2 linked regions of the Callithrix jacchus genome follow. The protein of the gene in region 1 interacts with the protein of each later gene in a biochemical or structural test. Links are inferred from orthologs where the notes say so. Each region holds a gene or a part of one and is shown on either strand. Other genes may lie near its edges. The genes, in order: MIS18BP1 and MIS18A.

Evidence for each region.
Region 2: the proteins of MIS18BP1 (region 1) and MIS18A form a complex in vitro, tested with the Homo sapiens proteins (2 studies listed by BioGRID). The link is inferred for Callithrix jacchus from reciprocal best matches to the Homo sapiens genes MIS18BP1 and MIS18A.

The regions. Positions count from the first base shown.
Region 1 is NC_133509.1:79,845,091-79,860,594, reverse strand, and holds the start of MIS18BP1 (mis18-binding protein 1), read left to right. Parts: upstream 1-6,380; 5' UTR 6,381-6,566; intron 6,567-7,167; 5' UTR 7,168-7,179; coding exon 7,180-7,232; intron 7,233-11,803; coding exon 11,804-12,438; intron 12,439-15,504. UniProt on the Homo sapiens protein: Required for recruitment of CENPA to centromeres and normal chromosome segregation during mitosis.
Region 2 is NC_133522.1:38,417,543-38,433,014, forward strand, and holds the start of MIS18A (protein Mis18-alpha), read right to left. Parts: upstream 7,111-15,472; 5' UTR 7,086-7,110; coding exon 6,755-7,085; intron 3,622-6,754; coding exon 3,555-3,621; intron 1-3,554. Other genes in the region: small ribosomal subunit protein eS27, read right to left, coding at 10,320-10,574. UniProt on the Homo sapiens protein: Required for recruitment of CENPA to centromeres and normal chromosome segregation during mitosis.

The sequences.
Region 1 (15,504 bases):
ATAATTTAAAATCACCTGTCTTTTTTTTTTAATAAAGACAGGGTTTCACCATGTTGGTCAGGCTGGTCTTGAACTCCCAACCTCAGGTGATCTGCCTGCTTGGCCTCCAAAGTGCTTGGATTACAGGTGTGAGCCACCACACCTGGCCTAAAATCACCTGTCTTAAATATGCTCAGACAGCTAAAGGAAACCACAAAGAGTTAAAGGAAACCAGGAGAATGATGCCTTAACAATAGAAAATATCAACAAAGACAGAAATTATCAAAAGAAACCAAGTAGAAATTGTGAAGCTGAAAAGTACAATAGCTGAAATAAAAATTCAGAGGGTTGCAATAGCAGATTTGAGCAGGCAGAATAAAGAATGAGTGAACTTAAAACTGTCAATAAAAATCAAAATTATCCAGACTGAGAAGCATAAAGAAAAAAGAATGGCTGGGTGCCATGGCTCACATTTGTAATCTCTGCACTGTGGGAGGATGAGGCAAGAGGATTGCTTGAACCCAGTAGTTCAAGACCAGCCTGGGCAACACAGCAAGACTCTGTCTTTACAAAAATTAAAACCAAAAAAAATGTTTGCTAGGTATAGTGGTGCAAGTCTGTAGTTTGAGCTACTTGGAAGGCTGAAGTGGGAAGACCTCTTGAGCCCAGGAGTTCAGGTATGCAGTGAGCCAGCCATAATTGTGCCTGTTAGCCTGAGTGACAGAGCCAGACTCTGTCTTAAACAAAAGTAAAATAAAATAAAGAATAATTACTGGAGTCTTTAAAAATCTATGGGAATAATCGAGAGTATCACCATACATATTACAAGAGTCCCAGAAGGAGAGGAAAAATAAAACAGTGGGAAAAAATGTTGAATAAATAACCAAAAACATCCCAGATTTTGGAAGAACCCAAGAATCTCAACAAACTCCAATAAAGATAAAACAGTTCCACACTGAGACACATAATAATCAAATTGTCAAAAGACAAAGACAAATAAAAGAATCTTAAAAGCAGTGAGAGAAATGATTTGTCACATACAAGTGATTCTCAATCATAAGCACATCTGATTTCTCATCAGAAACTATGTAGGCAAGAAGGCAGTGGGATAACATATTCAAAATGCTGAAAGAAAAAGACTATCTACCAAGAATTGTATATTCATTAAACTGTCCTTCAAAAACAACAGAGAAATTAATATATTAGCATGTAAATAAAAGCTGAAGAAGTCTGTCACAAGTAGACCTTTACTATAAGAAATACTAAAAGGAGTTCTTCAGACTTAAATAAAAGAAAACTAAACAGCAACTCAAAGCTATAAGAAGAAATCAAGACATTAGATAGATATAACTACATCTTTAAATACAAAAGCCAGGACTGATATGTTTTTGGTGTGTAGTTTCTCTTTGTTTATATGATTTAAAAGGCAAGTGCATAAAATAATTACAAATCTATGTTGCCAGGTGCGGTGGCTCAAGCCTGTAATCCCAGCACTTTGGGAGGCCGAGGAGGGTGGATCATGAGGTCAAGAGATCGAGACCATCCTGGTCAACATGGTGAAACCCCGTCTCTACTAAAAATACAAAAAATTAGCTGGACATGGTGGCGTGTGACTGTAATCCCAGCTACTCAGGAAGCTGAGGCAGGAGAATTGCCTGAACCCAGGAGGCAGAGGTTGCAGTGAGCCGAGATCACGCCATTGCACTCCAGCCTGGGTAAGAAGAGCAAAACTCCATCTCAAAAAAAAAAGAACAAAGACAAGTGCATAAAATAATTACAAATCTATGTTAATAGACACACAATGTATATAGATGTAATTGGTAATAAAAGAAACATAAAGGAGAGGACTCAGCTGCTTAGGAGCAGAGTTTCTGTATGCTATTGAAACTAAGTTGGTATAATTTCAAATGCGGTTATTATAGATTTAGGTGGAAACAACCCAAATGTCAATGGAGGAACAGGTAAATAAAATGTGGTATACACACAATATGGAATATATTCAGCCATAAAAAGGAATAAAGTTCTGATCTACAATGTATAATTTTTTAGGTATATAAACCTCAGGAAAAAAAAACTGTGAAGGAAGCTAGACATTAAAGGTCCATATTGTAATATTGTATGATTCAATACTGTGGGAAGGGGAGAAGAGAGAGTGCTTAAGAGTTATGGGATTTCCTTTTAGGATGATAAAAAATGTTTTACAGGTGATGGTTGTAGAATATTGTGAATGCACTAAATGTCACTGAATTGTACACTTTAAAATGGTTACTTTAAGAGAATTTGACCTTAGGATTTTTTAAAAATTAAAAGCCCTGACCATGCAGAAACATGAAAATATTCATACTGTATTACAATTGCATACCACAGGCAGTTCTTTTTTTAAAGAGGAAACAGAAAATAATAGCATGCACTGCATAGAGTAATGTTAAGTATAATGCTTTTAAAGCTTTTGTTTTAGTTAAGTGTAGTTTTGTATAATTATTAGGTTATAATGTACAATATTTTTTATTGTGGATTGCAACAAAAAAAATGGAAAGTGCCTGAAAATAAAATCTTACTGCTACACTCTTTTAATTATTCTTCTGTGACAGGCATGGAAGCGTGCAACTCTGATCTTTCGTTTAAAAAAAAAGTCACTGAGCTGTGAGGAGTGCAGTTTGTTGGGAAAAGCATCAAAGGAGAAAGGACTTACAAGTTAACTAACAGCCTCTGGCTGCAAAGCCTTTGACATCTGTTAAAGCCTTTGTGCTAAAACCATCTTCCCAGGCAGCCTCCACCCTGGCAGATACCAGGGCCTGGCCTTGTCTGCCCACTGCAGGACTTCTCTTCCTATTGGGTTAGCCAAGACTCTGTCAAATCTCTATTGCAATCTTAGACTGCCCCTACCCAATTCCACTTGCATCAATCTTTCCTTTTACAAATGTCAGATCTGTATCAAGATCTGAAGATTTACCAGGTCCAATTCTTCTTCCTTCCCTTTAGTATTTCACAAGATATACTTCCCAAAATCCTACTTCCAACTTGGCATTAGCTTCCGGGGTAATGCAAACTGATATAACCTTATAGCTCTTATCACAATTTGTAATATGATATGAGTTTATATATTGCCTCCATCACATAGCAATTTCCTCAGCTGCCTTTTTTACTGAAGGGTCCTCCTCTCACAAAACCTGGATAACTTCCTCATTGCCTCCCTCCTGTAGCCTGTACAGGGGAGTAATGGTTTTACTTTGTGCCTTCCATAAAGGCATCCTGCTAAGAGAGTAAGAGGGGGCTGAAATCCTGTTTCAGGGCTACATCTGCCAAGAGCAGAATTTCTCAACCATGGCACTACTGACATTTTAAAATAGTTAATCCTTTGTAGTGGTGGGGGGCTGTCCTGTGAACATTATGATGTTTGGTAGTATTATCTGTCCTTGCCACCGGTACTCTCCCTAATTGTGACATTTATAAATGTCTCCAGGCATTGCCAATTGTCCCCAGGGGGGAAAAACTGTTCCTGCTTGAGAACCTTTAGCTTTGATGAAACAGCATTTTCCTACTTTCTCCAAAAGTGTCATACGGTCAGTTAGTAGTCCTGCTAGAACTTATCACAGTCCTGGGAATATTCCTCCAGGCTAAGCAGGCCCAGATTCCTTGGTAGGAACTGGCACACAGTGTGAAACTTTCAGTCTCTTTTACCTTCATTTTTTTTAGACCCGACATGGGTCTGCATGTGTTTCCATGTGTTACAGGCCTAGGATGGGACAGATTATCCCAAGTGGCTGACTGTGAACTGCAAAACCACATCCAATCATCTTCTCATTATAGTCTCCCCTCCAAGCAGACAGAAACTTAAAGGAGGACCAACCCAGGGCAACATTGAAACCACCTTTGCAAAATTATGACTGAGACGGTGAAAGAGATCTAACTTAACCGACTCCATCTTGCTTCTAACCTCCACGCTGAAGTAACTTTGGGAGAAACTTAAGTTTGTAGTTTATAGTTTAAACAAAGACGGTAACAACCCTTTCCCAAAGGAGATCTCCTTCTTGCCTGGAGACTAGATTGCCTTTGTAGAACTAACATTAGTCACAATATCAGAAATTATGGTTTGCAGCTGGAGGTTACAAGATTCTGACCCTCCCTAATCTGCTCCTAAGATCAGTGCTTGAGATATTTTGCAGACCCAGCACTTAAGGGATCAGCTGACACCACCCAGAGCAATAAACTGGCTCATTTAATCTTGTGACCTCCCACCCCGAAACCCAGGAACTGACTGAGCAAGAACACAGCTTCCACATCCTATGATTTCATCCCTGACTAATCAGCACTCTAGTTCACTTGCTCCCCACCACCCACTAAGTTATCCTTAAAAACTGATCCCATAATGCTCAAGGGAGACTGATTTTAGTAATAATGAAACTAGTCTCCCACACAGCCAGCTCTGCATGTTACTCTTTCTCTATGGCAATTACCTTCTCTTGATGAATCAGCTCTGTGTAGGCAGCAGGCAAGGTGAACCCCTTGGGCAGTTACAGCATGTTGACATTAATGGACAGATGAACACTTTCCCTTGGCCACTAGGCCTCCTCATCACACTTTGCTATCCACAAACTGTTTAATTCAGTTTTGCTTGGAAAATTATTAGTCATCTTATGTAAATTCCTGTGACCATTCATGTTGGAGCATAATATATGCTACTTCCTTCTCACATGAGAAGTGACTAATTTTTAAAAATGTGCATTTCTAAGTGCCTGCCATTAATATTTCAGGGTTCCTATTTTGTCTAAAGGTGTGAGCCACGACCATCTTCATCGGGCACAGAAACCTCAATTTCAGATGCTTTTGAAATCGGAATGCCAATCCCTTCAAACTTCCTCTATCAAAGTATATTTCATACACGCCATTTAACCTGTTTTAAGGCGGGCTTTTCCCACAAACCTAGTGGAAATCCATGTCCAACCATTTTCTCATTATGATGTACAAGCAAGAAACTTCATTTTATTCAAGTAAATTTGCTTCCTTTCCCCTACCTCCAACTGTTGTTTTTCATTACTTGCAGTCATGTGGATGTTTTATACTTATATTTTGGATTCTGATTATTCGGTGTAGATATAGGACGACTTAGGAGGGATTGCAAGTCACTTTAAAAAAATTAATCCATTACAATCTTTTCAGTATAGGACTCTAAGTCTTAACAGGAAAATGTGATATATGACCAGGAAGCTGACCAATTTTCTTAGATGAACGATAAAATAAAAAGAAACTCACTTGTCACAAATGCGGATGAGCGGTGGAAGAGGGCACATTTCATGCAGGATTGGAAGCGGACAGAATTTGGGGCTGAAAACACGCCTTATTACCCTGGCTTCCACTTCTCTACTTTCAAGACTGAACCAACGAGTTCTATACAAGGCAAAAGATACACCTGCGGTGGTTAAGAGTGCAGATTCATTGGGCGCAGTCTAACGAGGGACGCAGCCTGGAAGCCACTGTTAGAAACTGCATACTGCAACCTAGAGTTGTCAAGATTAATGTTTCTAGAATGAGAGGTGATTAAAAAAAATCTTTTTAATCACTTCCTGGCACGGTGCAGTTGCTTGCCTGTGTAATCCCAGCACTCTGGGAGGCCGAGATGGGAAGATCGCTTGAACCCACGAGTTCGAGACTAGCCTGGGCAACATGGTGAGACCTGCTCTCTACAAAAAAAAAATTAAAATCAGCGAAACCTCGTCGCGCGCGCCTGTAGTTAAAGATACTGGGAGGCTGAGGTGGGAAGATCCCTTGGAGTTTCAGGCTGCAGTAGAACCATTATTGCACTAATGCACTCAGGCCTGGGCGACACAGAGAGACCCTGTCCCCCACACCCCACCCCCACCCCCACAAATCACACTTCTTGTGGAAACCGTTCAAACTAAACATCCCACTTTGTGCGTAACTTTACATTCAATCCATCATTCCCTCAAAAACAAAATGTTCTTTATCCGCCTCAAACATGGAGGACTGAGAAAAACATAAGTTCTCTCAAACCCACGGAGCACGCAGATTTCCGGCGATAGAAGGGAGGGATAGCAGCCTTTACTGCGCACAGCCCGTAGGGGAGGACGGCAGCTAGAAAGGGCCAAACTTCACCGCAGCAGCGCGCGCGCGGCTTGCGGCGTCTCCGACGTCAGCCTTGCAGCGACAGAGCATCACCTGAGGAATGAGGGCATTCAAGTTGGGCGCGTGCGCTGCGAAGACGAAACGAATTAGCTCGCCCCTGTCTGTGACAGCTTATGGTCGCCTACTTTTTGTGGAAACACTACGGTCCACGAGTGCGGAGGCAGCCAGAAATTTGCCTGCGTCCCAGTAAGACGCACGGTGGCGCAATTCCGACCCTACCAATCCCAGGCTGACTGGAGGGCGGGCTTTTCAAATTTGAATTGCGGAAGTGTTGTGGGTGTTAGAGAACCTCGCGGAGTAGGTAAGCGTCGCTTGGGGCCCGGCCGTCGCGGGCAGGGGCCACCGTGGGCCTGAGACGAGAGCCCCGCGGCGTCCGGCCCTCCCTCCGCGCGGAGCCAAGCCTGCACTACCACAGTCTCGCCCTACCAGGCCCTTCACCCAAGGTACGTCCTCCTCGCGTCCTTCGCTCGCCTCCCGTCGCGAGTCCCCGCCGGTGGTGGGCGGCCTGTCCTTTCAGCACCTCGGCCCACGCCGTTTTATTATTAATTTTCGTAGATTTCTAGCTTTGGTACTGATTTTACAGCTGCGCACTCGATGTTTATTTGTTGCGTGTCTACTGCAGAGTAGAACACGATTGCTCACATTTATTTCTATGGTGAGCGTTCTAGGTCTTTGTTCTAAAGTCACTTAAAAAAAAAAAGAATACCAAGTAGGAAAATTGTGTGCCCTAGTACCCAACTCTTCCCCTTGGGGACCCAGGGCTACAGAAGAAGTTCATCCATTCAGTTTATGTTTTCTTCTAAAACACAGCTTTAGATATTAATAAAATTACTTAGAAAATGGTCCGGCGCGGTGGCTCACACCTGTAATCCCAGCACTTTGGGAGGCCGAGGCAGGTGGATCATTTAAAGTCAGGAGTTCAAAAAAATGATAGGTCACCTCACCCTGTCCTTCAGAGATAATACTGTTCACAATTTGGTTCACTTGCTTCCAGAGTTTTTCTCTATGCTTATATGTGTTTCATTTATTTATTTATTTTTACAGAAATGCAATTATATGTTCTGTTCTGCTACATTTTTTCAATTTAATATTTCTTGGATTTTTTCCATGTAAGTACATATATATCTTTTTGTTGAATACATGGAGTAAATTGTATGGATGTGGCGGAATTTATTTTGTCCTTTATTGGTGGACATCTGGGTTGTTTAATTTCATTTTATGGTGCAGGTACTGCAGCATGAACTTCCCTGTGTAGTGGTTGTGTACGCTATGTTGCCTGTTGGTAAAGAACTTAGACTTTGGAGGTAGAATTAGATCATCTTTCTCACTTACTGTTAAGTAAACCTTGGTCGGGTTATTTAACCACCTATACCTTAATTTCTCTCTTTTCAAACTGGGAATAACCACAGTACTTAACTCTTTAGAGTTGCTGTTAGATTATATAGTGACTGGCATGTCAATATTCAGTGAATATCGGCTATTATGATGCATATATATTTGCATTCTTATGTAGGTGTTTCTGTAAGAAAAAAACAAGTTAGAAGTGGAATTTCCGTGTCAGTGGCATACAGACTTGCATTTTGAAATTAATCTTTACCAATATGATATGTAAAAGAAGTCTCACTGTTACAGTTTGCATCTCCGTTTATTAGTAAAATCAGGTGTTACTTGTTTATTGACCTTTTCTATTTCTTCTATTAATTGTCTTTCATGTCCTGTGACCATTTTCTGTTTTGAACATTTTTTTTTTAATTGATTCAGTAGGTCTCTGAATGTTATGTAAATTAATCCTTTGTCATAGGTGCTGAGTACTTATTTCAAGTGTATCATTTACCTCTTAACTTAAAATTCTATTTTTTTTTTTTTTTTTTGCCAATCAGTTTGAGCTTATAAGGTTGCTCAGGTTAGCTTTGAACTGATGAATTCGCCTTCGCAAGCACCACGACCTCCGGCGGGAGCCACTTTGGACCCCTAAAATTCTATTTTTATGCCGAATTCTGTCTCCCAGTTTTGGTTAGTGTGCTCTGGGGTTTTTGACCCCTTCATAGTAATAGCTATTACTATTGTTACCAATACAGTAAATTCTTACAAGAACGTTCCATCTTTTGGGAGGAGGAGGAGGAGTAGTTATATTCAGGATCATATACATAACAATTGTTTAGCTTCAGTTCTGTGTTTATATGTGTCACTTATAACTGCCTGGGATATGTTCTGAGAAATACATTCAGGTGATTTTTGTCACTGTGCCTGTATCATAGAGTGTACTTATAAAAACCCAGGCTATATGTTATATTCTATTGCTCCTAGGCGCCAAACCTGTAACACAGCATGTTACTTTACTGAATATTGTTGGCAGTTGTAACATGGTGATAAGTATTTGTGTATCTAAACATATCAAAATATAGAAAAGGTTCAGTAAAAATAAGGTATCCTATGGGACCTCCATATGTGTGATCTGACATCATTATGCAGTACATGACTGTACTATAAATGCTATGGCCAGCCCTTTCCTACATGGTTTTCCCATTCCTTTGTCTTCATGTTGAAAACATTTTTTTTTTCCTAGTACATCAGCATTTGTCAGCTTTTAGAATAAGTTTTAAGGATTAGATTTTCCAAACAACTTTAAGCAGTTGATGAAAAGAGAAACATACTTTATCCAGTCTTAGAGGGAACTGACAATGAGTGACCTCCGTCTGTCAGGTCAACAAATGTGCTTGGTTGGCTTCAGGACAAACTATTCTTTCCTTCACTTGAGGGATACCAGTTATTTAGTCTCCACTAATGTCTGTGTTTCATCAGAGGCTGATTTATTTTGTTCTTTTAACTAGGAAGGAAATGGAGCTTCAGATCTGTCTTGGTTTATCTAGACCCAGTGTTTTTTTTTTTTTAATTTATTTACTCTGCAAAGCCTCTGTGGTCAGTGGAAATTGTAGACTATTTTTTTTCTCTTTATTCTGTCTTTAACAAACCCCTGGCAAATATTGGCTGCTTTTTTTTTTTTTTTTTTGACTTACATTGAGTTGCTATTTATCACATGGTGGGAAAAAGGTATCTTAGAGCAACTTTCTGCATCTTTGGGAGGGGAAGTGGAATTTGAAGGCTTTTCAGAATCTTGGCTACCCAATCTTTATCCTACTACTTGCGTGAATTGGGGGCAAAGATGTTAGGCAACAGAAATCTTTGTGCTGGTTCTTTGAGCCTTTCTATGTGACCACTATTATCTGCCTTTAAATGGATACACTTCTACATGTCCATTACAGATTGGATCTGTTTTCAGTGCTCTTAGCTTATTTGCAGTTTTTACTTTCTGCTTAGCATTTCATTAGGCTCTGAGGAATTGAGACTGTGTAAACCTGAACATTCTTTGCCATTTTGCTTTGCAGTTTTCCAGTTTATTTTATTTATTTATTTATTTTATTTTTTGAGATGGAGCCTCACTTTGTTGCCCAGGCTGGAGTGCAGTGGTGTGATCTCAGCTCACTGCAACCTCCGCCTCCCAGAATCAAGTGATTCTTCTGATTCAGCCTCCTGAGTAGCTGTGACTACAGGCATGTGCCACCACACCTGGCTAATTTTTGTATTTTTAGTAGAGATAGAGTTTTGCCGTGTTGGTCAGCCTGGTCTTGAACTCCTAACCTCAAGTGATCCTCCTGTCTTGTCCTCCCAAAGTGATGGGATTACAGGTGTGCGCCACCACAACCAGCCGAGTTTATTCATTTGTGATTTTGAGTGATTATACAGCTTTATTGTCTTTCTTTGAAATGAACAGCTAAGCCGGACATGGTGGTTCACTCCTTCCAGCACTTGTGGAAGGCCAAGTCAGGAGAATCACTTGAGCCAGGAGTTCGAGACCAGTCTGGGCAACAGGCTGTAATCCCGCCTATAATCCCAGCAATTTGGGAGTCCGAGGCAAGTGGATCACCCGAGGTCAGGAGTTAGAGACTCCCCCTGACCAATATGGTGAAAACCCATCTCTAACTAAAAATACAAAAAATAACTGGGTGTGGTGATGTGCGCCTGTGATCCCAGCTACTCAGGAGGCTGAGACAGGAGAATTGCTTGAACTCGTGAGGTGGAGGTTGCGGTGAGCCGAGATTGAGCCATTTTACTCCAGCCCGGGCAACAGAGTGAGACTCCCTCTCAAAAAACAAAAACAAAACATAGCTCAGGTGCAGAGGCACACACTACTACAAAAATTAGCTGGCTGTGGTGATGTGCGCCTATGGTCCCAGCTACTCTGGAGGCTGAGGTAAGAGACTTGATTGAGCCCTGGATTTCGAGGTTGCAAGGATCCCTGATCACATCATTGCACTCCAGCCTGGGTGAAAGAGACACTGTCTCAAAAACAAAACAGAAATGAAGCGAATGGTTAATATAACATCCAGCACAAGAACTCATGGAACTAGCACATAGTAAACATATACATGCATGCATTAATACGTATTTGCAGTATTCATATTATGTGGAAGAATTATAGCAGTTTTTAGAGCTCCAGACTTCAAAGATACCCCTCTTTGTTGGCTGTTATAATATAGGAATATTTTCCTTTTTTTTCTCTATTAACATAAATTATTGGATTAGATAATACTTTTTATATTAATTGCTTATTTCTTACAGATGTTCCTGTAGATAAAGATAATTGATATCTTTTGTCTGGCTATGTTAGAATTTTCTGTCATAGGTTTTTTTATGTTTATATGATATTAACTAATTGGAATAGTTATAAATTCAGCAGTAAGAGATGCTGTAAATCTAGACTAGTAAGTTCCAGGATCCTTGGACTGAAATATTTATTTACCAAATATTAGTTAATGTAACTGTATGGTTCCTCGCCTAGAACCTTAATTTCCAGGTGTGAATAATAAAACTTATACATAAGAAACAAGTTAAAGCAAGGCTAAAACTGTGTAAACTTAAGTACAATGTTTCTGCTAAAAATTTTAAATAGTATTACAAAAATCAGAATGAAAATAATCTACCATTTGAGGATTTTTCAACTAAGACTTTAAAATGTAAATGCTCTAGAGCATAAAAAATCAGGATTGGGTATTATTAAATAATTGAATAGTTTTTTTTTTTTTAGCTTTTATTAGAATAGATCATTGTAGTTGCTGCCTTAAAATTTAAGTGTCTAAAGAGAAAAATTATATTTGTAAAACTTTATCTTTTGTAACCTAATGTATTGCCATGTGCATGTATCATTTATTTATTATTTTTTTTTTGAGACAGGGTCTTTCTTTGTCACCCAGGCTGGAGTACAGTGGCACAATCATGGCTCACTGCAGCCTTGACTTCCTAGGCTCAAGTGATCCTCTCTGCTCAGCCTCCCAAGTAGCTAGGACTGCAGGCGTGTGCACCATCACACCCAGCTCTTTTTTTATTTGTTTGTTAATCAATGAGAGCTTGTAACGTTGCTCAGGTTGGCCTTGAACTCATGGCCTCACCTCCTCAAGCACCAGGACATCTGGCCAGAGCCACTGCGGCCCCAACCCAGCTCTTTTTTTAAGTAGACTTTAACAAAAATAAAATCTTAGTCTGATTTGTGAGCTATAGATTATCTAGCATTGTTATGAACCAGTTTAACATTTTAATTAATATAGTGTTGTGGAAAGCATATAAACTTTAAACCTTTTCTGCATCTAAGCATGATAAAGGCTGATTTTACATTGAACTACAGGTTTCTGTGGATCGCTGCTGAAGTTCTGTCTGAAAATTGTGCTGAAGTGAATTTTCTGTTAGAAGAACTTGCTTGCTACTGTCCTGTCAAGATGATTGCAACACCTGTGAAACATCCAAGAATTTACTTACCTTCAGAGACATCGTCTCAAAGGAAAGATCTACCCATGGATGCAATCTTTTTTGACAGCATACCTTCAGGCACACTTACTCCTGTAAAAGATTTGGTGAAATATCAGAACTCCTCTTTAAAGTTGAATGACCATAAAAAGAATCAGTTCCTAGAAATGACAACTTTTAACAATAAAAATATATTTCAATCAACCATGCTGGCAGAGGCTGCCATCTCTAACAGTTCTCTTGATATCAGTGTTATAAAGCCCAACAAGGATGGATTAAAAAATAAAGCAAACTATGAATCACCAGGAAAAATATTTCAAAGAATGAAAGAAAAAGTACTGCATGACAAGCAAGAACAGCCATCAAGAAACAATAGTTTGTTGGAACCACAGAAAAGTGGAAGTAGTGAAACCTTCACTCCTAACAGAGTTGGCAAAAATCTACTGCAGCATACCTACCTCTGTGAAGAAAAGGAAAACAACAAATTATTCCAGTCAGATAACAGTTCACTAAGAGGTTAGTTTTATGTGTTAGCTAAAAAGCTGTAATGTCTTAAGTGTTTAATGTGTCAGACACTGTTTTAGGTGCTAGAATATAGCTGTGAGTAAAATGGACAAAAATCCTTGCCTTTGTGTAACTCACATTCATGTGGTGGGAAGACATAATGAACATATTAAACAAGTAATTTTTTATGGCATAATAGAAAAGAAAAAGAAGAAAAAGGAGAATTAGGATGCTGGGGAAGAGTTGGAGGGGGATGTAATTTTCAGTGAAGTGGTCAGTGAAGCTTCAATAAGAAGATGGAAATTTGAGCCCACAAAATTGAATGAGATAATAGATATACGTATCTTGAGGAATGGGGAAGGATGATCTAGGCAGGTAACAGCTGTTATAAACGCCTTGAAATAGGAGCATGCCTGACATGTTGAATGACTAGCTAAGAAGTTAGTGTATCATGGAGTGATTAGATAGAGCTGAGGAGGGAGAAATAAGGGTGGGTCAGATAATGTAAGGGCCTTATAGGTAAATATAAGAGTTTTGCCTTTTACTGTGAGCAGAATAAGGCATTGGAGGGTTTTGAGCATGTGAATGACAAGATCTGAATTATGAGGGTTTTTTTTGGTTTGTTGATTAACCATTGAGTACAATGACTTAAGTTTTTAAAATACCACTCTGGCTGTTCTGAAATAGTTACTACAGTAAGCCAGATGACAGCCAGTGTTGGCTTGGTTCATGTGTTAGTAGTGAAGATACTAGGTGGCTGGACTCTGGCTGTGTTTTGAAGGGATAGCCAATAGGATTAGCTCATAGATTGGGTGTAGAATATAAGACAAAAAGATATAAAGGACAGCTCAGGGTGTTTTTTGTTTTGTTATTTGATTGTGGCCTAAGCAACCAAGAAGATGATTTAACTGAAATGGGACAGACTGAAGGAGGAATGAAGTGCGGGCTCAATAGTTAAGATTTTTGTCATGTTAATTTTGATAATGTCTATTAAAGATCTAAGTTTAGGTATAATTAGGGTGTTGGAAAAAACTAATGGGAATATAAGGAAATGATTAAGGCGACAAAAGTACATTTGGGAATTTCTAGCACCTAAATGGTATTTCAAAAGCAATGAGATTAGATGAAGTCATCAAGGAGTAAGTGTAGAAAGAAAAAACATTCAAGACCTGCACCCTTGGGTACTCCAGCTTTACAAGGTAGAATAGAGTAGAAAGGCCAACTGAGTGTTGTGGCTCACGCCTGTAATCCCAGCACTTTGGAAGGCCGAGGCGGGCAGATGACCTGAGGTTGAGAGTTGGAGACCAGCCAGACCAACATGGAGAAACCCTTTCTCTACTAAAAATACAAAATTAGCCAGGCGTGGTGGTACATGCCTGTAATCCCAGCTACTCAGGAGGCTGAGGCAGGAGAATCTTGAATCTGGCAGGCGGAGGTTGTAGTGAGCCGAGATCGTGCTATTGCATTCCAGCCTGGGCAACAAGAGCAGAGCTCTAAGGGGAAAACAAACAAACAAAAAAAAAAGAGTAGAAAGGCCACTGAGAATACCAGGAGAGTGATACAGTGAAAGCCAAGAGAACGAAGTACTTTAAGTTGGGAGTTGTCAGCTGTCTACTGCTTCTAATTGGTCAAGTAGGCTGAGATTCTACTGGTCGATTCAGCAATAGGAAGTCGTTGTTGACTTTTTAAGGGTGGTTTTGGAGGAATGATAGCAATGAAAACATTTGAAAGGGTTCAGGAGAGAACATGACAAGAGGAATTGGCAGTAGTGAACATAGACAGGTCTTTTTGAGGGGGGCAAAGAAATAATGGCAAGTGTAGTTTAAAGTTTTATCATTTTTAATACTTGGTGAAATGCAGCATTTTTGTATGCTGTTGGGAATAATGAGGTAGGAAGAAAAAAATTGAAATTGCTAGTATGATGCCCTTTAGTAATTGATTGAGAGGAAATATCATCTAATGCATCATTAGAGGTTTGACCAGAACACAGCAGACCAATTGTTAACAGAAAAGAAAGCCGTTTACACAGACTTTGGTGGGTCATTATTGTATGACTTCACAAATAATCTGAAATAAGAAGTAAAGTCATCAGCTGAGCGAATGTGGAAAGCAGTTTGAGGAGGTAGAGGTTTGAATAGTTTGGAAGAGGCCTAAATTTGATTTCCTGGGTAACACAGAAGAGCTGTTTAAGATATATGGACATGAATTTAAACTGGAACCACTAAATATGGCTATGAGTTTTCCTTTAACCCTGTGTAGCTGCTAAGGTGCTGGTATAGAATAGGGAGGGAATTGGATTTAACTGGGTTGTAATTTTGCCAAATAGAATAAAGTGACAGAGGACAGAGGAGTTAAGGGTGTATGTGAAGGAGTCATGGTGAAATTTAAGTTGATCAATGAGGGCAAAGGATCTGAAGGAGATGAGGGATTGTGAAGAAGTAAACGTTTTGTTTGGATAGTCACTGGATTTGAGAGAATTATCTGGAAAGATAGACACTATAACAGTTGAAATCGAGATTTTACTGAGTTTCAGTCATTGATAATGAAAGGTATTTTACATGTATTATCTCTCTCTTTTTTGAGATGGAGTTTCAGTTTTGTTGCCCAGGCTGGAATGCAATGGCATGATCTCGGCTCACCGCAACCTCTGCCGCCGAGATACAAGCGTGTCTCCTGCCTCAGCATTCCTGAGCAGCTGGGATTACAGGCATGCACCACCATGCCTGACTAATTTTGTATTTTTAGTAGAGATGGTTTTTTCCATGTTGGTCAGGCTGGTCTCGAACTCCTGACCTCAGGTGATCTGCCTGCTATTGCTTCCCAGAGTGCTGGGATTACAGGCATGAGCCACCAAGCCTGGGCTTATTATCTCTTTTAATCCTTTCAACAAACACCCATTAGAAGTCTGTAAATGGGGTTTATAGAGAGAGTAAGTCTGCTTGCTGTATGTCTCATAGGTAACAAGTGATAGGCTGAGAACTGAATATAGCTATCTCTTAGAAAGCCCATGTTCTTAACCACTATACAGTAGGTTGTAGGTATGTTGTTGAATTTCCAAGACAGTGACATATTCCAACA
Region 2 (15,472 bases), on another chromosome or scaffold:
AATATCAAACCTCATTACCATTATGAGACTGCCTCGCACCATTACCAAGATTACAAACTAATATCTAACGTAAGTGTCATCAGCCAAGAAAGGACACTTAGAGAAACCAAAGGCTTGAATTCCCCAAATAGACTGAGCCATGGATAAGACTGTTCTATCCTGAGCTATCAAAATCAACCTAAACACCACCAAAAATAGGAATGAACCCGATCATACTTCTACAACCATCTTTTAGAGCAATGAAGAGACGATAGCTACTATTAAGCCAGCATCTTTCTGCTTTCAGTTGGCAAGAATTTGGCCAGAATTCACCCTTTTCCTTGAACAATAACATTGAGAAAGCAGTGGCAACAATCTTAAGGTAATTTTAGACAAGGAATAATTTGATCGTAAGATTCTCAACAAAGGACAGAGTCATACTAAACAGAGGAAACAGCACTGCTACGTTCACGACATACTTCTAAAGCCAACAGTGCTCTTGCTGACCATCAGCAGAATAGCTCAGGCAGGTATTCCGCAGGATGGGCTTATGGAAAAATTCACAAGCATCCCAAAGCAATATGGGAGTGTGGAGCACACAACCCTAGTGAAGTCCAACACAACTGAAGGCAGCATAATCGATGGGTTTAGGTGACACAAACAAACCGTATTAATGGCTCTGAGTCAAAGAGAGTGAATTCTCTATCAATCCTGATTATAAAAAAGAAGAAAGGCTGGGCGCGGTGGCTCACGCCTGTAATCCCAGCACTTTGGGAGGCCAAGGCGGGTGGATCATGAGGTCAAGAGATCGAGACCATCCTGGTCAACATGGTGAAACCCCATCTCTACTAAAAATACAAAAAATTAGCTGGGCATGGTGGCGCGTGCCTGTAATCCCAGCTACTCAGGAGGCTGAGGCAAGAGAATTGCCTGAACCCAGGAGGCGGCAGTTGCAGTGAGCCAAGATCACGCCATTGCACTCCAGCCTGGGTAACAAGAGCGAAACTCCATCTCAATAAAAAAAAAAAAAAAAAAAGAAGGAAAAAGTCTTGGTTTGGTGCTAGACTGTCTTTGACACTTGTCTCACAGTTGCAAATCTTTTAATAGTAAGAGAACAAACTTCAGGCAGAGAACCAGCCAGGCAATAATATCTCAGCTAGAAGTAATCACATTTGTTTTCACTGTAATTATCTTCAATTGCTTTCTAGTTATGGCAAGTTATATGTTGATGATAGTAAAAAGAATCCTTTTAAAATTTAAATAAAAATTTTAAGTCGATTTAATTTTAAAAATTAAGTATGCAATAGCAGAGCTGGTAGGTAGTACACAAATAGGGCAAAAATGATGAAGGTGACATCAGAATGGCTAGAGCTGGGAAGTGGAGAAGAAAGCATTTTGAAGGAAGTCAGGAGGGATAACAAGCATCATCCTAGCTCTTCCTGCTAATTAGTCCTGTGACTTTAGCAAAGTTCTAACCTCCCTGGGCCTTACTTTCCTCAACTACAAAATGAGAAATGATCTAAGGCTGGGTTTTCTTAATTCGTATGGCCCACATGCCAGCACCACAGTTTGTCACAGCCACAAACTATCTGTACTGGTTTCGGTTTTTTTCTTTTTACTTTTATGGGAGAGATACATAGGACAAAGACTGCAGAAACGGGGACGCAGAGCTTCCAAGCCCTTTCTAGGTACACCACCCTCCTGGCATCTCATATTCACCAACCTGGAAGTTCTCTAAAACCTATGGGTTTTTTGGGTTTTATAACATAGGCAAGATTGATTAAATCATTGCTCATCATCCCTAGCCCCTCTCCCCTCCATGGAGGTAAGAGAAGAGGTTGGGGTACAGCTGAAACTTCCAACCCTCAAAAGACCCTTGGTCTTTCTGGCCCCCCATCCTGAAGCTACCTAGGAACCCCCAGCCACAGTCATCTCTTTAGGATTCAAGAGGACATTACCACCACTCCAGAGATTCTAAGCATCTTAGAAGCTTTTGCATCAGAACTGGGGCCTAAGACCAAACATGATAACAAAAAATATTATTATCACCCAATCACTTAAGAAATTAAAAGGGTTTGGGGAGCTACTAAGTTTCTGTCTCCTGCTAAATGTGTAAGTTGAAATCATAGTACCTAATGTGATGGTATTAGAAGGTGGGATCATAAGGAGGTGATCTGGTCATAACGGCATAGAGTAACTTTTTAAAAATTAAATATACTTTATTTGATAGGATACTCCAGCATACCAGTATTTTTAATATACATTAAAATACATACAAAACTAATTTTTGTTTAACTGTGTACCACCTGAAGTTATTCCATATGTGAGTATAAGATACAGTTTACATTTGGAGCAACAATTATACAGGGCAGCACGTCCCACTCAGTATACTCAGGTGTTACTATGGCACATGGGTGGCAGGTATGGCAAGATGTGTGTCCCCTCAACCCTTAGAGTAGCCACATAGGACTTTAGCTTGCTGGCGCTCCTGTGTTGTTTGGTCCTGCCTTATCTGTTTACCCCAATAGGCTATGTGTGTGTGACAGCAGCATTTTATGTGTGCTACAACATGAGAAAGGTGGGCAGCATTAGCCTAAGGCACTCTTTAACACTGAGATTTTATAATACAGGTATTTTCCCTTTTTTTTTTTGGAGACAACAGAGTCTTGCTCTGTTGCCCAGACTGGAGTGCAGTGGCACAATCTTGGCTCACTGCAACCTCCACCTCCCGGGTTCAAGCTATTCTGTCTCAGCCTCCAAAGTAGTTGGGATTACAGGCACACACCACCACACAAGGCTAATTTTTGAATTTTTAGTAGAGACAGGGTTTTGCCATGTTGGCCAGGCTGGTCTCGAACTTCTGACCTCCAGTGATATGCCCACCTCAGCCTCCCAAAGTGCTGGGATTAAAGGCATGAGCCACCATGCCGGCCTTCTTTTTCTATTTTTCTTTTCTTTTCTCTCTTTTTTTTTTTTTTGAGATGGAGTTTCGCTCTTGTTACCCAGGCTGGAGTGCAATGGCACGATCTCAGCTCTCCGCAACCTCCGCCCCCTGGGTTCAGGCAATTCTCCTGCCTCAGCCTCCTAAGTAGCTGGGATTACAGGCACGCGCCACCATGCCCAGCTAATTTTTTATATTTTTAGTAGAGACGGGGTTTCACCATGTTGACCAGGATGGTCTCAATATCTTGACCTCGTGATCCACCCGCCTCAGCCTCCCAAAGTGCTGGGATTATAGGCGTGAGCCACCACGCCCAGCTCTATTTTTATTTTCAATTTTCTTCAGCATCAAGCCCAAAGATCCAAAAAGGGAGTGTCAGAATACACTTTTATAAAACTAGAAACTCTAATTTTTCAATATCTAAGGGTGACCACAACCACTCAAGAATTGATATACTCCTTTTTGAAATGGGATATAGAAAAAGAAAAAAAAAACTGATACATGTGAATGACTGACTTTTACTATCATAAAAACTTTTATCCCAAGTAATCTTACTACTAGTAACGACCTTTTAAAGATTTTAATTAAAAAAAAAAATTCTCTAGCATACTCATATAAATACAGCTTTACTCACCAACCATTTTCCTTTTCACGTTTGGATAGCTTCTGCTCCTTATCCACGGAAACATTACAGGAAACACCTATAGAGAAAGTAATAATTTATTAATGTGGTTTGTTACAACATACATGCAAAGAGTTAGAGAATTTCTAATCCAACTTTTTAGAACTTGGAGGACAAAAAATAAGCCCAAAGTCAAACACACACACGAGTGGTTCAAAACTAAAAGTACCAGGGGTCTTCTGGGAAAAGATGGCAGAATAAGAGTTATTTCCAACCAGCCGCAGTGGCTCACACCTGTCATCCCAACAGTTAGAGAGGCCAAGGTGAGAGGATCGCTTGGGGCCAGGAGCTAGAGATCAGCCTGGACAACATAACAAGACTCCATCTCTACAAAAAAATTTTTAAAGAAAAATGTTAAAAGGTTATTTCTTTCCTTTCCCTAGAGAGAAAAATTCATTTAACAGTAAACTTGGAACCATTAGAATCTCAAATCACAGACTGCAAAGAATTATCTGCCAGATAGTGAAATTGGGTTCCAAACCTAGGAAGATGCAAACAGCCAACACATCTATCTCCAGATTTCCAACACAGGACCCATTTCTCTAAAAGTAACTGAGACGGTCCTCAGGATCACAGCCACACATCTTTTACTTGGACAATGACTTGGACAGAGGTCACAGCTGGACTCCAGAGGCAGCAGCAAACATTCTCAAAGAATCCAGGTCTAGGACACACTAAAGGACAGGGTAGAGGATGAAAAAGAAACAAAGAAGGGACATCAGACCTAAAATGACCAGAACTGACTCTTAATTTCACCTCCTCCTACAGTCTACCTTAACTTGGTAAACTCCACCTCCACCTACGTGCTTGCTGAAATCAGAAACCAGGTGTCTTCCTTGATTCTTCATCTCCTCATCCTGCTTCCCGGTATCTACTCCACTGATCATCCCATCCATTCTACCTCCCAAACCTCACTCCAGCCCCCAAACCACCAGCACCACCTCTTGCCTGGACTCCTGCTCTGGCTCTTCACTGACCTCCCCAACTCTATACTTGTTCCTCCTTCAATGTTTTCTCCAGAGAAAAAGCAGGGTCATATTACTCCCCTGCCTAAGCTAGCATCACGGTTTACTCACTAGAACAGATTACTATTCTTTAGGACAGACCTCAAGGCCCTGAACTTTCTGGCCCTTTAATTCCTCCCTAAATCTTTACTCTTTGACCATATTCTAGTCTCCGGGCTTTTGCATGAGCTGCTCAACACCTGTTAAAAGCAAACAGCATGACCTAGAATTGTACCTGTTGCCAAGCTAGCATTCACATATTAAAAACAGGAAAACATTTTCAAGCACATCAACTTGAAATTTTCTTGGCGATGTGGGGGAGAAGGGCACTAATGATGATTAGTCAAATAACTCAGGAATGAAAAAGCTATTAAGAAGCTTTCTTATGGTAAAGACTAGTGGAGTTGGGAAATAAATTTATATAAACATTATAGGATCAGGTGCTGTAGCTCACCTCTGTAATCTCAGCACTTTAGGAGGCCAAAGCAGGGGATTGCTTTGGGGCCAAGAATTTGAGATCAGCCTGAGCAGCACATCAAGACTCAGTCTCTACAAAAAATTTTAAAATTAGCCAGGTGTTGATGTCTGTAGTCCCAAGCTACTTGGAAAGCTGAGTGGGGAAGACAGTTTGAGCCCAGGAGTTCAAGGTTACAGTGAGCTATGATTGTGCCACTGTACTCCGGCCAGGGCAACAGTAGGCTGTTAATCCACTACAACCCTTAATTCACTATAACCTTGTCTATTCAAAAAAAAAAAAAAACCTATTAAATAAATAACCCTATTAAAATAGAAAGGCTGTGTTATGGCTACAAAACGCAATGTAAATGTACAGAATGTAAATATATAAACCTTGACAAAATGAAAACAATGAAACTATCAAATTGAATGGAAATGAATCCGAGTTCATTTGTCTGTCTTTACTGGGGTCGGGGGAGAGGGCAAGGTGGTGTTAAATCCCCTCTAATCTGATAAATCAAAAACGTATAGTTCTTTAAATTTTAAACTATGTTTGCTATTTTTAAACTATGTTTTAAATTTTAAAACTATTAATATAAAAATTAAATAACAAAACAATACCCTTTCTATATGTAAAGCAAAACAAAGGACGCACATGGCAAAAGACAAACACTATCAAAACAAAGTACAAATAAAATGAAAGTTGTAACACCAAATATGTTATTTCTTAAAAAGATGTAAATCAGGTAAACTCATTCAAACAAAGAGCTTCCCCTACTGGATCAAAAATGTGCACGGTTTGGTTTTAATAGGTGCAAAGAGTTAATCTCAACTTTCAGTTACCTAGTGGACACTGATGTGCTCCTTTATTCTCAGTATTACACTGAGGAAAACGTTCCAGAAACATCGATAAGACGATGGTGAGTTTTTGCCATCGAAACATTTACAGTATTCAAAGACAGGAAAAACTTCATCTTGAAAAACCACAATCCAAAAGTAACAGCCATTTTCACATCAATTCAGAAAAAATGTAAGTGAATCACTTCATCCCTAAATACTGCAAAAACAGCAAAATGAGAGAACAGTGGAAAAACAGACATAACTGCTAGAACCAGGATTAGAAACTAAATTCCCGTCTTCTTCTCTTTTGCTACATCCTCCTTCCTCGCTAATTTTGATGAGATTGCTGCGGCTTTTATTGCACGTTTCCGTCCTTTTCTTCCCCATAGCACTGTGTTATGTCAGCTCTGCGGCTCGGCATCGCTGATGCACCAACAGCCCGCTAATTCCTGTGGGGAGTCGTAGGGCTGGCTACGCCTCAAGTGCTTGCAATCTAGTTAGCCATTTGTTTCTCTCTTTTCTTAGGACCTTTCAAAAAACGTTATTCTTTGTTGCCCTTTGTTTCTGAGTCATGCTGACGACGGTGCTGATTCAACCGCTGCTCTTCTGGGATCGGGGACCACAGAAAAGAACCCGTCCCGCGAGAGCCGAAGTGGAAGAGCGACCCTCCTCCCCTCCTCCTGCGACAGCTCACACTCTCATGCTTTTTGCTCTTAAAGTCCCTGAGCAGCTCCAAGGAGCCTCCTTGTCCTCCGGGGCCCCCCAGGTGCTGCAGAGCTGGAAAAAGGCGACCCCAACCCCCCAACCCCCCACCCCCCAATCCCCAACCCTGCGCGGCCCGACCCAACTAACAGCGTAGCAGGATGCAGTTGGTGTCCTCCTGGCTGGTCACCCAGCTCAGCGAGTCGCCCAGCGGCCGCCGGCAGCTGGAGCACAGGAACACCAGCGGCCTCTCCTCCGCCGCCGCCGCCTCCTCGAGACGCGCCTTCTCCGTGTCGGCCACCGACGCGTCCTCGCTTGTGGAGCGCCACATATTCGTCCACTTCTGCAGCAGCTGGTGGCGGCTCGAGTCTTCGGAGAGCCTCTTGCTCAACAGCGAGGAGTCGCTGCACTTGCCCTTGTCGCCGTACTCACAGCTGCCGTCGCATCCTGTGCAACACCTCAGTGACGGAGCTCCCGCCATTACCTACAAATCGCCCGCGCCCCACAGCGTCAAGGGAAGAAAAAAAAAACAGAAAGGCCCCTGCGCATGCGCAGGGCAGGCCGCAGTGGCGGAGGCCGAGAAGGGGCAAATGCCTTAGGGGAGGCAGGACGGCGGGCGGTCACTGCGCTTGCGTCACGCTTTCTAGTTTGAAGAAATTGACGCTGCAGACCTGTTTGCTTGTCTTGCTAGGGATTATTCGCCCCTTTCCGTGGGAGGGGCAGCGCCACTGAGAAAAGTACAGGCTGTAAGCTTGAGTGTCTAAGAACCACTTTCCCAGACTCCGGTTCAGTTGGTAGCGGGTTAGCCCGAGAATCTGCATTTCTAACAAGTTCCTAGGCGTGCCCACGCTGTCAGTATTGGCAGCCCCACATTTTCTAGGGGGTGGGGAGCAGTACTGCTATGTTGCCGGTCTAGAACTCCTAGCCTTAAGCGAGCGTCCCGCCTCGGCCTCCCAAAGTGCCAGGATCGCAAGCGTGAGCCACTGTGCCAGACCAACACCCTTTTCTTTTTTGTAAATGGACTAATTATAGTTGTATATAAGCAGCTCCACTTTTGATGACCACTGCTCCTGGGGGCCTCCTTTCCATGAAGTGGAGAAGGCAGGGGATAGGGGGTGACCCTCATCACAGGGTCCTTTTGCACATTGTTATTCCTGGAATGAGACCCTGGGGACGGCCCCAGATCACTTAGGCTGTCACTGCAAGGAAAAAGTTGAGGAAGCAGCAGTGCCCCCTGGAAAGCCTGAAAGCGCCCCTGCTGCTTGGATCATGGAATCATTCGTCCTTGCGAGGTTCGAGAAGCATCCCTTCTTGCTGATAAGGACAGATTTCCTCAGCTGCCCGGAAAGCCAGCCTCTGCCTGAAACACCCCAGGTCAGGAGGAAAGCTGACAGGGAACCAGCCAGCGGCACCACAGACAGCCTGGCGGCATACCTGGGAAGAAAGCTACCTGTAAGGACCTACCTCTGCTCCCACTACGCTCTGGATGTTCCCCAAGTCACTGTCTACTTGCCCTAGTTGCATGAACTATTTACATAAATGTACTTCCAATTTTAGTGCTTACGGCCACTAGCAAAAAGCAAAGGCTTTGAAGTCAGTAGTCCTGGTTAACTCACCCCTCCCTCCACAAGGCAGTAATAATGTAGGGAATTTCGGAAAAGGGTGTTTGCCTTCCCTGAGTCTGATTCTTCAATACTACACCAAGTTGTTAAAGAGGATCAAGTTTTCTAATATTGATGAAAATACTTTGTTAACCCTAGCACACCATGCTCATGTTCATTAGCTTCTTACTGGAAGAAAATGCTTCAGATAGTTGAGGCTTTTTTTTTTTACCACCCATAGAATTCCCTTCCTACCCTCTGCTTTTTTCTTCTTTTCTTTATTTTTTCAGAGATAGTGTCTCACTATGTTATCTAGGCAGGTCTCGAACTCCTGGCCTCAAGCGATCCTCCTGCCTTAGCCTCCTAAGCAGCTGGTACTACAGGCATGCATCACCATACTTGGCCCCTTCTGCTTTTATGGAGCCAGGGCTGACCTTCCTGGACAGTTGTTTTCAAGTATAATATCTCTGGGACAACATTGATAAAATCCACATGAGTTTAAGTAAGTGGCTGGTTACTTTTGGGAATCAAAGGATCATCTCCTTTTCTCAGACTTTGAGTTCCTAATGTCAGTACTTAAATTCTATGATAGGATGCCCCAGGAAAGAAGGAATACAAGGCCGAGCTGCATGGTGACTTTCAGCAGCCCGAGTATTTTTGATTTGGTAGGCCCTTCCCTCCATAAAACAGTTAATAAAAATTTCATTTTATAGTTGCACTGCTATGAAGATGATATTAAAATGATATCATAAAACTTTTTTAGACCTATAGGTTCACTTTTTTCTTCTGATTAAAAAAATTGAAACATTTTCATGAGCCTTAATATCACGGTTCCTAGGCATGATGCCTCCTGCACCTCATGAAGAAGTTGGCTGATGCAAAATGAATTCCTCCATAGGCACAAGTGTGTTTGTAGGAATAATATGAATATAAAAACAAGGCTAGCCATGGTGGCTCATGCCTGTAATCCAGCACTTTGGGAGGCTGAGGCGAGAGAGTCACTTGAGCCCAGGAGTTTGAGACCAACCTGGGCAATATAGAGAGACCCTGTCTCTACAAAAATTTAAAAATTAGCCAGGCATGGTGGTGCACACCTGTAGACCCAGCTGCTTGTGAGGCTGCGGTAGGAGGATGGCTTGAGCCTGAGAGGTCGAGGCTGCAGTAAGCCGTGATCATGCTATTGCACTCCAGCCTGGGAGACAGAACGAGATCTTGTCTCAAAAAACAAAACAAAATTTCAGCTAACCACAAAATCATCATATTTATGGGGAGACAAAATGAGATGCTTGAATAAGACGATCTCGCATTTCATGGTTGAGGTTGCTTCCTGAACTACATTCTCATCCTACCTCCTAGTTATACGATGAGGAGATGTGGGGAAGGTTGAGTCCATCTCCACCGCTATCACCACCGATTCCAGGAATGGGTCCCTGGAGGTTTAACACGATCAGTCAGATGACCATGACTCTTCCTCTAGTGTCTGGGGCAGGGATGGCTACCCATGGTGCTCCAATGACAATAAGGCTTGGCTCAGAATAAAAACTTGGCCTGGTCAAGTTCAATTTTGTCCAGTCTGAGTAAGGGAATCACCCAGCCTCTGGACCCTTCCAGTTGTGTGAGCCAGTCAGTTCTAGTTATTGTGGAAGGCAGTTTCAATTGTTGTTTTGTTTTGACTAGCAACCAAAAATGTATGTAATCATCTGTTACAGTATGTTAAAATTGAAGTTTCCACTGAGACTGGAAGATGAGGTAAAAATGAGATGCCAAAGTGTGTGTGAGACAGATTGCCCTCCTTCCTGGAGGAATCTTCAGAGTAGATATAAGAGAAATGATTCCTCCTGCTTTTTCTTTTTTTTTTTTTTTTTTTTTTTGATAGAGTCTTGCTTTGTCACCCAGGCTGGAGTGCAGTGGCGGGATCTCAGTTCACTGCAACCTCCACCTCCCAGGTTCAAGCAATTCTCCTACATCAGCCTCCTGAGTAACTGGGATTATAGGCACCCACCTCCAAACCTGGCTAATTTTTGTATTTTTTATTTATTTATTTATTTATTTATTTTTTAATCCAAAATGTGTTTATTAAGATAGTTTCCCACTCATCTTGATTCAGAGTGCTTTTAGTGCTGCTTCCTCCTGAAAGAACATCCTTCTGTAAGCCTTGCTTTTCCTCCTGTAGGCTGGCAGAGGACAGTGGAGCAACCAACACACAAAACTACCGTTTGTGCATGGCTGAAGACCGTGGTGATTTTATAGCATCCTGGGCATTTCACATCCATGAAGTAGGAATTGGGGCTTTGCACTAGGCGTTTCTTCTTGTGTTTCCTCTTCTCCTCTTCTGGAGACGGATGAAGGAGATCCTTTGCTAGAGGCATGTTCTCATGCGTAGATCGTCACCGCCGGACAATTTTTGTATTTTTAATAGAGACAGGCTGGTCTCGAACTCCTCACCTCAGGTAATCCACCCACCTCAGCCTGACAAAGTGCTGGGATTACAGGCATGGACCACCGTGTCTAGCTGATTTCCTCTTCTCTTAAACCTCCTCTCACACGCTTTGGGAATATAAAGGAAAGGAGAAAATGGTGACCAAGATGACTTCACTGGAAGGATCTCTTTGGGGATGGGCTCCCCCAAAATAGAGAAGAGAGCATCTGCCTCCTTGCCTCAGTTTGGCTGACAAGAGACTTTGAGGAAGCATTTATATACCTGTTGGTTCCCAGGCCCTTGGGGACAAGGGTGACCTGCAGGTGGGTCAAGCTGCATGTGTTTTGGTAGCACAACAAAGGTGAACAAGGTAGGTTGTCAGCCAGATCTAAACTTTGCTGGCAGGAAGTCACCCGGAGTCTTAATTTCTGCCCAAGGAGCTAACCTGGAAGCACGAAGACTCCCCACTGGTGAGTCAAGAATGAACAGCACTCCTGGAGAACCAATCAGGGCAGAGGGAGAGCCGGCCTGAGGTGAGGCCTTGCCCAGTGGGTCACGGACATGCACTTGGGATTTGGGAGGTGCAGGGAGTCCCCAAAGGGGCCAGGAGAGAAGATCAGGAAGGCTGGGGTGGCCTATGTCTTACCTGGGGCAAAGGGAAAACAATTCTCATCCTGTAGTGAAGATTGCTATGTTGATTAGTATCTTAGACTGATGCTACCATTTCTTCACTGAGATTCTGCTTTCAATGAAAGTGCCTGCAGAATTGTCTGTTCCCCAAGAGGGCCTTAGAAAAACACATAGGGGAGGCACTAAAATTCTGCTAGTATGGGGAGGGTTTCTTCGCAAAGGTTTGTAGGAGAGAACCATGTAGGATGGTGCAGGAATCCGGGTTAGCAGCCCTGAAGCCAACATCACCTCTTCCTCAACCTAGAGGGATGCTGGGAGAGGTTAGCAGAAGGAAGGAGTGTTGTGAAGAGCAGAACACCTTGAGATGACCATCTTCCCTCCAGGGTCACAGCAAGCTGGGGTGGCCTCAAAAGAAGGGAGGCAGGAGACTACATTCTCTGACCTCACTCTCTTCTGTCCCACCAATTTCCTGCTGGAACTCTGAGACGTTGATCACCACCTGCAGGAGTCTGTCCTGCAAACCGTGACTCCATGATGGATGAATCAACGCACTCAAACGGTGAACAAGTGGGCTAGGGAGGTCATCAGCTGCTCTCAGAGGGCGATTGCAGCTACCTAGTCCCCCCACTAGCTCTACCTCACGTGTATTCAGTATGGATTTAACAACAAAGGCTTTGAGTAAACACATTTGTGGATAAAACATGGATAAAAGCGTAGTTCTTCCAAAGATTAAAGCTCAGGTGCCGATACCCCGAGTAAACCCCATTGATTGATAATATCACTGGTTAACACATCCCCCCCCCACCAGAGGACCATCTGGCTCAAAGATTACGCGAGTAAACAGGTAGTTAGAGACAAAAGGGTAAACAGACTTAACTGGGGAAGCTTCTGTTATCCCTAATCTTCATCCTATGACCTAATGCTCTAAGGTAAGAACCGGCTACCTTCAGCCTGTTCCATTATTCCAAGTTAAGGAAAACCTTTCGGCCTTCCAAAAGGTTTGAGACTATATCTTATAACTTCCCCTAATATTTTCCTCAATATTTTGCCAACTACCCTGAGTAAATCCCAGCAGAACTCCCTATTGCCCACGTCCAGCCGGAATCCACAGGACACAGAGCATATTGATGTAATCCATACAAGTTCACCATGGTCAAGAGCAGGGTGGAGAGTGAATAGGAAGATAGATATCCCCCACACACTGCGCTTGTGCTCATCCAGGGCCACAGGGAAGACGAGAGCAAGGTAGAGAGTGAATGGGAAGATAGATATCCCACACACACTGCCCTTGTGCTCATCCAGGGCCACAGAGAAGACCATCGTCACTGAAGAAGGTCTACGTAGCGGAAGGCAAAACGTGAGAGAGAGTTCTACTTTGATTCTGACCTGCAGTCTTTTCTTGCACAACATACGGGTTACTTGAACTACCTGATTCAACCCTAATGCTTGGCTTGATTCAGAAGCTTTAGTGTAAATTACAAACAAATGCTCATTATCTAATTTATATCAATGGCTAGCACTAGAGGGGAGAGAAGAGCAAGAAAATATAACTGGGAGAGAGAAGGAAAAAGAGGAGGAGAAACAAATGGGATCTTGATAATTTGGGAGAATTATGGCCTTTTAAGAGTGGTCTGGCAATTGAGGAAAATCAGAAATTAATGGCTACAGGCCAGGGGCAGTGGCTCACGCCTGTAATACTAGCATTTTAGAGGCCAAGGAGGGATGGATCGCCTGAGGTGAGGAGTTTGAGACCAGCCTGGCCAACATGACGAAACTCTGTCTCTACTAAAAATACAAAAATGAGCCCAGTGTGGTGGCAGGTGCCTGTAGTTCCAGCTACTCGGGAGGCTGAGGCAGGAGAATCGCTTAAACCCAGCAAGTGGAGGTCAGCTGAGATTGCACCACTGCACTGCAGCCTAGGTGAAAGAGTGAAACTTCGTCTCAAAAAAAAAAAGAAAGAAAAAAATTAATGGCTACAGAATACAAACACAGGCTATATTTTAATTTTATGTCCTTCCTTACACTAATGTGATATAATGACAGGTCACTGGAATCGGTCAGCTGGCCCCTTTGGTGCATTAAGGGTTGGCTGCAGCTGCATCTGAGGACCAGTTGATCCAATTCCTTATCTTTTATATATATATATATTTTTTGAGACAGTCTTATTCTGTCACCCAAGCTGGAGTGTAGTGGTGCGATCTCAGCTCACTGCAATTTCTGCCTTTCAGGTTCCAGTGATTCTCATGCCTCAGTCTCCCGAATAGCTGAGATTTCAGCCACATGCCACCATACCTGGATAACTTTTTGTGTTTTTGTAGAGACAGGGTCTGGCTATGTTGTCCAGGCTGGTCTGCAACTCATGCGATCCCCCTACTTCGGCCTTCCCTAGTGCTGGGATTACAGACATGAGCCACCACACCTGGCCTGATCCAGTTATTGGTAGAAATATGTCTAAGGACCAAATGGCACCCAAAACTGCCTTCCCAAGAGAATGCCATGCTGAGCACTCAGCTCCGAGGGACCTTCTGCCACCATCCAAACCCTCCTTAGGGGGATAAAATGCACTGTGGAAAAGTGTGGATATGTATTTATAGCTCTGTTCTGGGAGTGAAACAATAACTGCAGGAATATACTTCACCTTCTCCAAAATCCTCAGAGGCAGGGTGTTCTTTAAATAGTTCTGTTTCCCTCTCCTAGTTAGTGTGTGGAATCACGATTTTCCAGTCCTTAACAGAAATATTTGGTTCTCATGGAAGTTAAAAAAGAATAAGGAAAAGAACATGATTTTCATCGAGTCATAATATATTTCATCTGGGAAAGAATCCACACATCATGATCCACATGTGTCAGTCTACAAGTGGAAAAGCTGAGGTCTGGTGTGCTTCAAAGGTCACAGATCTAGTTAGTTGCAGAGACTCATGGACGTCTGGGCTGATATATGTCAGGTACCCTTCCCCTCTCAGGAATATTGCACCTCCTCTCACCACTCCAACAGTGTGGCTGTTGTGGGCTCCCATCCTGAAGGTCTTAACTCACTCCTGCCCTATCCCAGAGGAAGCGACATCCTAGCCCTGGTGATCAGTCATTCCCACCAGCCACCTTCCTGGCCACAGCAACTAGTTCAACTAGAGTCAGTCTGTGTCCATCCCTGGAACTTTTCATGCCAAAGCTTGAAAGGAGAGTCCTCTGCTCACCCTTTCCTCTTGAATCATGACTCCAGAGCTGTCATCAACCAATGTCCCTAGCCACATGGAACAGGCTACCATGACACTGACCCTCCAAGAGAGACAAGATGCAAGGTGGAGCCTGAGACACCCTCCAAGAGAGACAAGATGCAAGGTGGAGCCTGAGAGTCCTAGCAGCACGCACACCCCACTGCTCCCCATTCAGCTCCATGGCCCCACCCCACGGCATGGTCCCATTAAACCCCACTGCTGTTTAAGCCACTTACAATTGGATTTCTGTCACTACCAAGGGAATCTTGACTAAATGCAGATTGCAGTCCAGAACCTAGGTCTCTGAACCCCAGGTACACTGGTCACACCACACTGCTGAACTGTAACACCATACATTTGATAGGACCTTGTAGTTTTCAAAATACATCTTTCAAGGGGGCTAACTCTGAGGAATTCCAGTATCATGTAAGAGAAGAATATGTTTCCAATGTAAATTTCTTCTATTAGCTGAATCTTCAGATTGGAAGAGCATACTAATTTCCTGGCACAAGAAATGAAATAATCTCACACCAAGGCTTAACATTGTGAATTATCAGAACTCCAACCGTAAGAGAAATTTCTAAAACTTTTCAAAGACGAGGGAAAAGGTACAAGAGTCAGATCACATTAGACTTCTCATCAGCAACCTGACTTCAGAAGCCAGAAAGCTCAAAGTTCAGCGAGCATGTGATTGTCAGACTGGAGTTATATCCATGCAGATCACGATCCAGATACCACTGACATTTTCAGGCATAACTGAACTTGACAATGTTATCTTTTACATAGCTTTTCTTATTTGAAAATCTGCTACAACAGGAAATGTAGAAAGATAGGTCACTATAAAAGAAAAGCAAATATTTAATTTATGAAAAGGTTCTCTGCCATGCTCATTTTTAAACTACACTAAAAACTAGTAGCTCACCTATCACTTTGGTAAAATCCAGAAGCTTGACAAAATAATCTGGTGTCCATACTGTTGCCCAAGAAAACAGGCACTTTTATA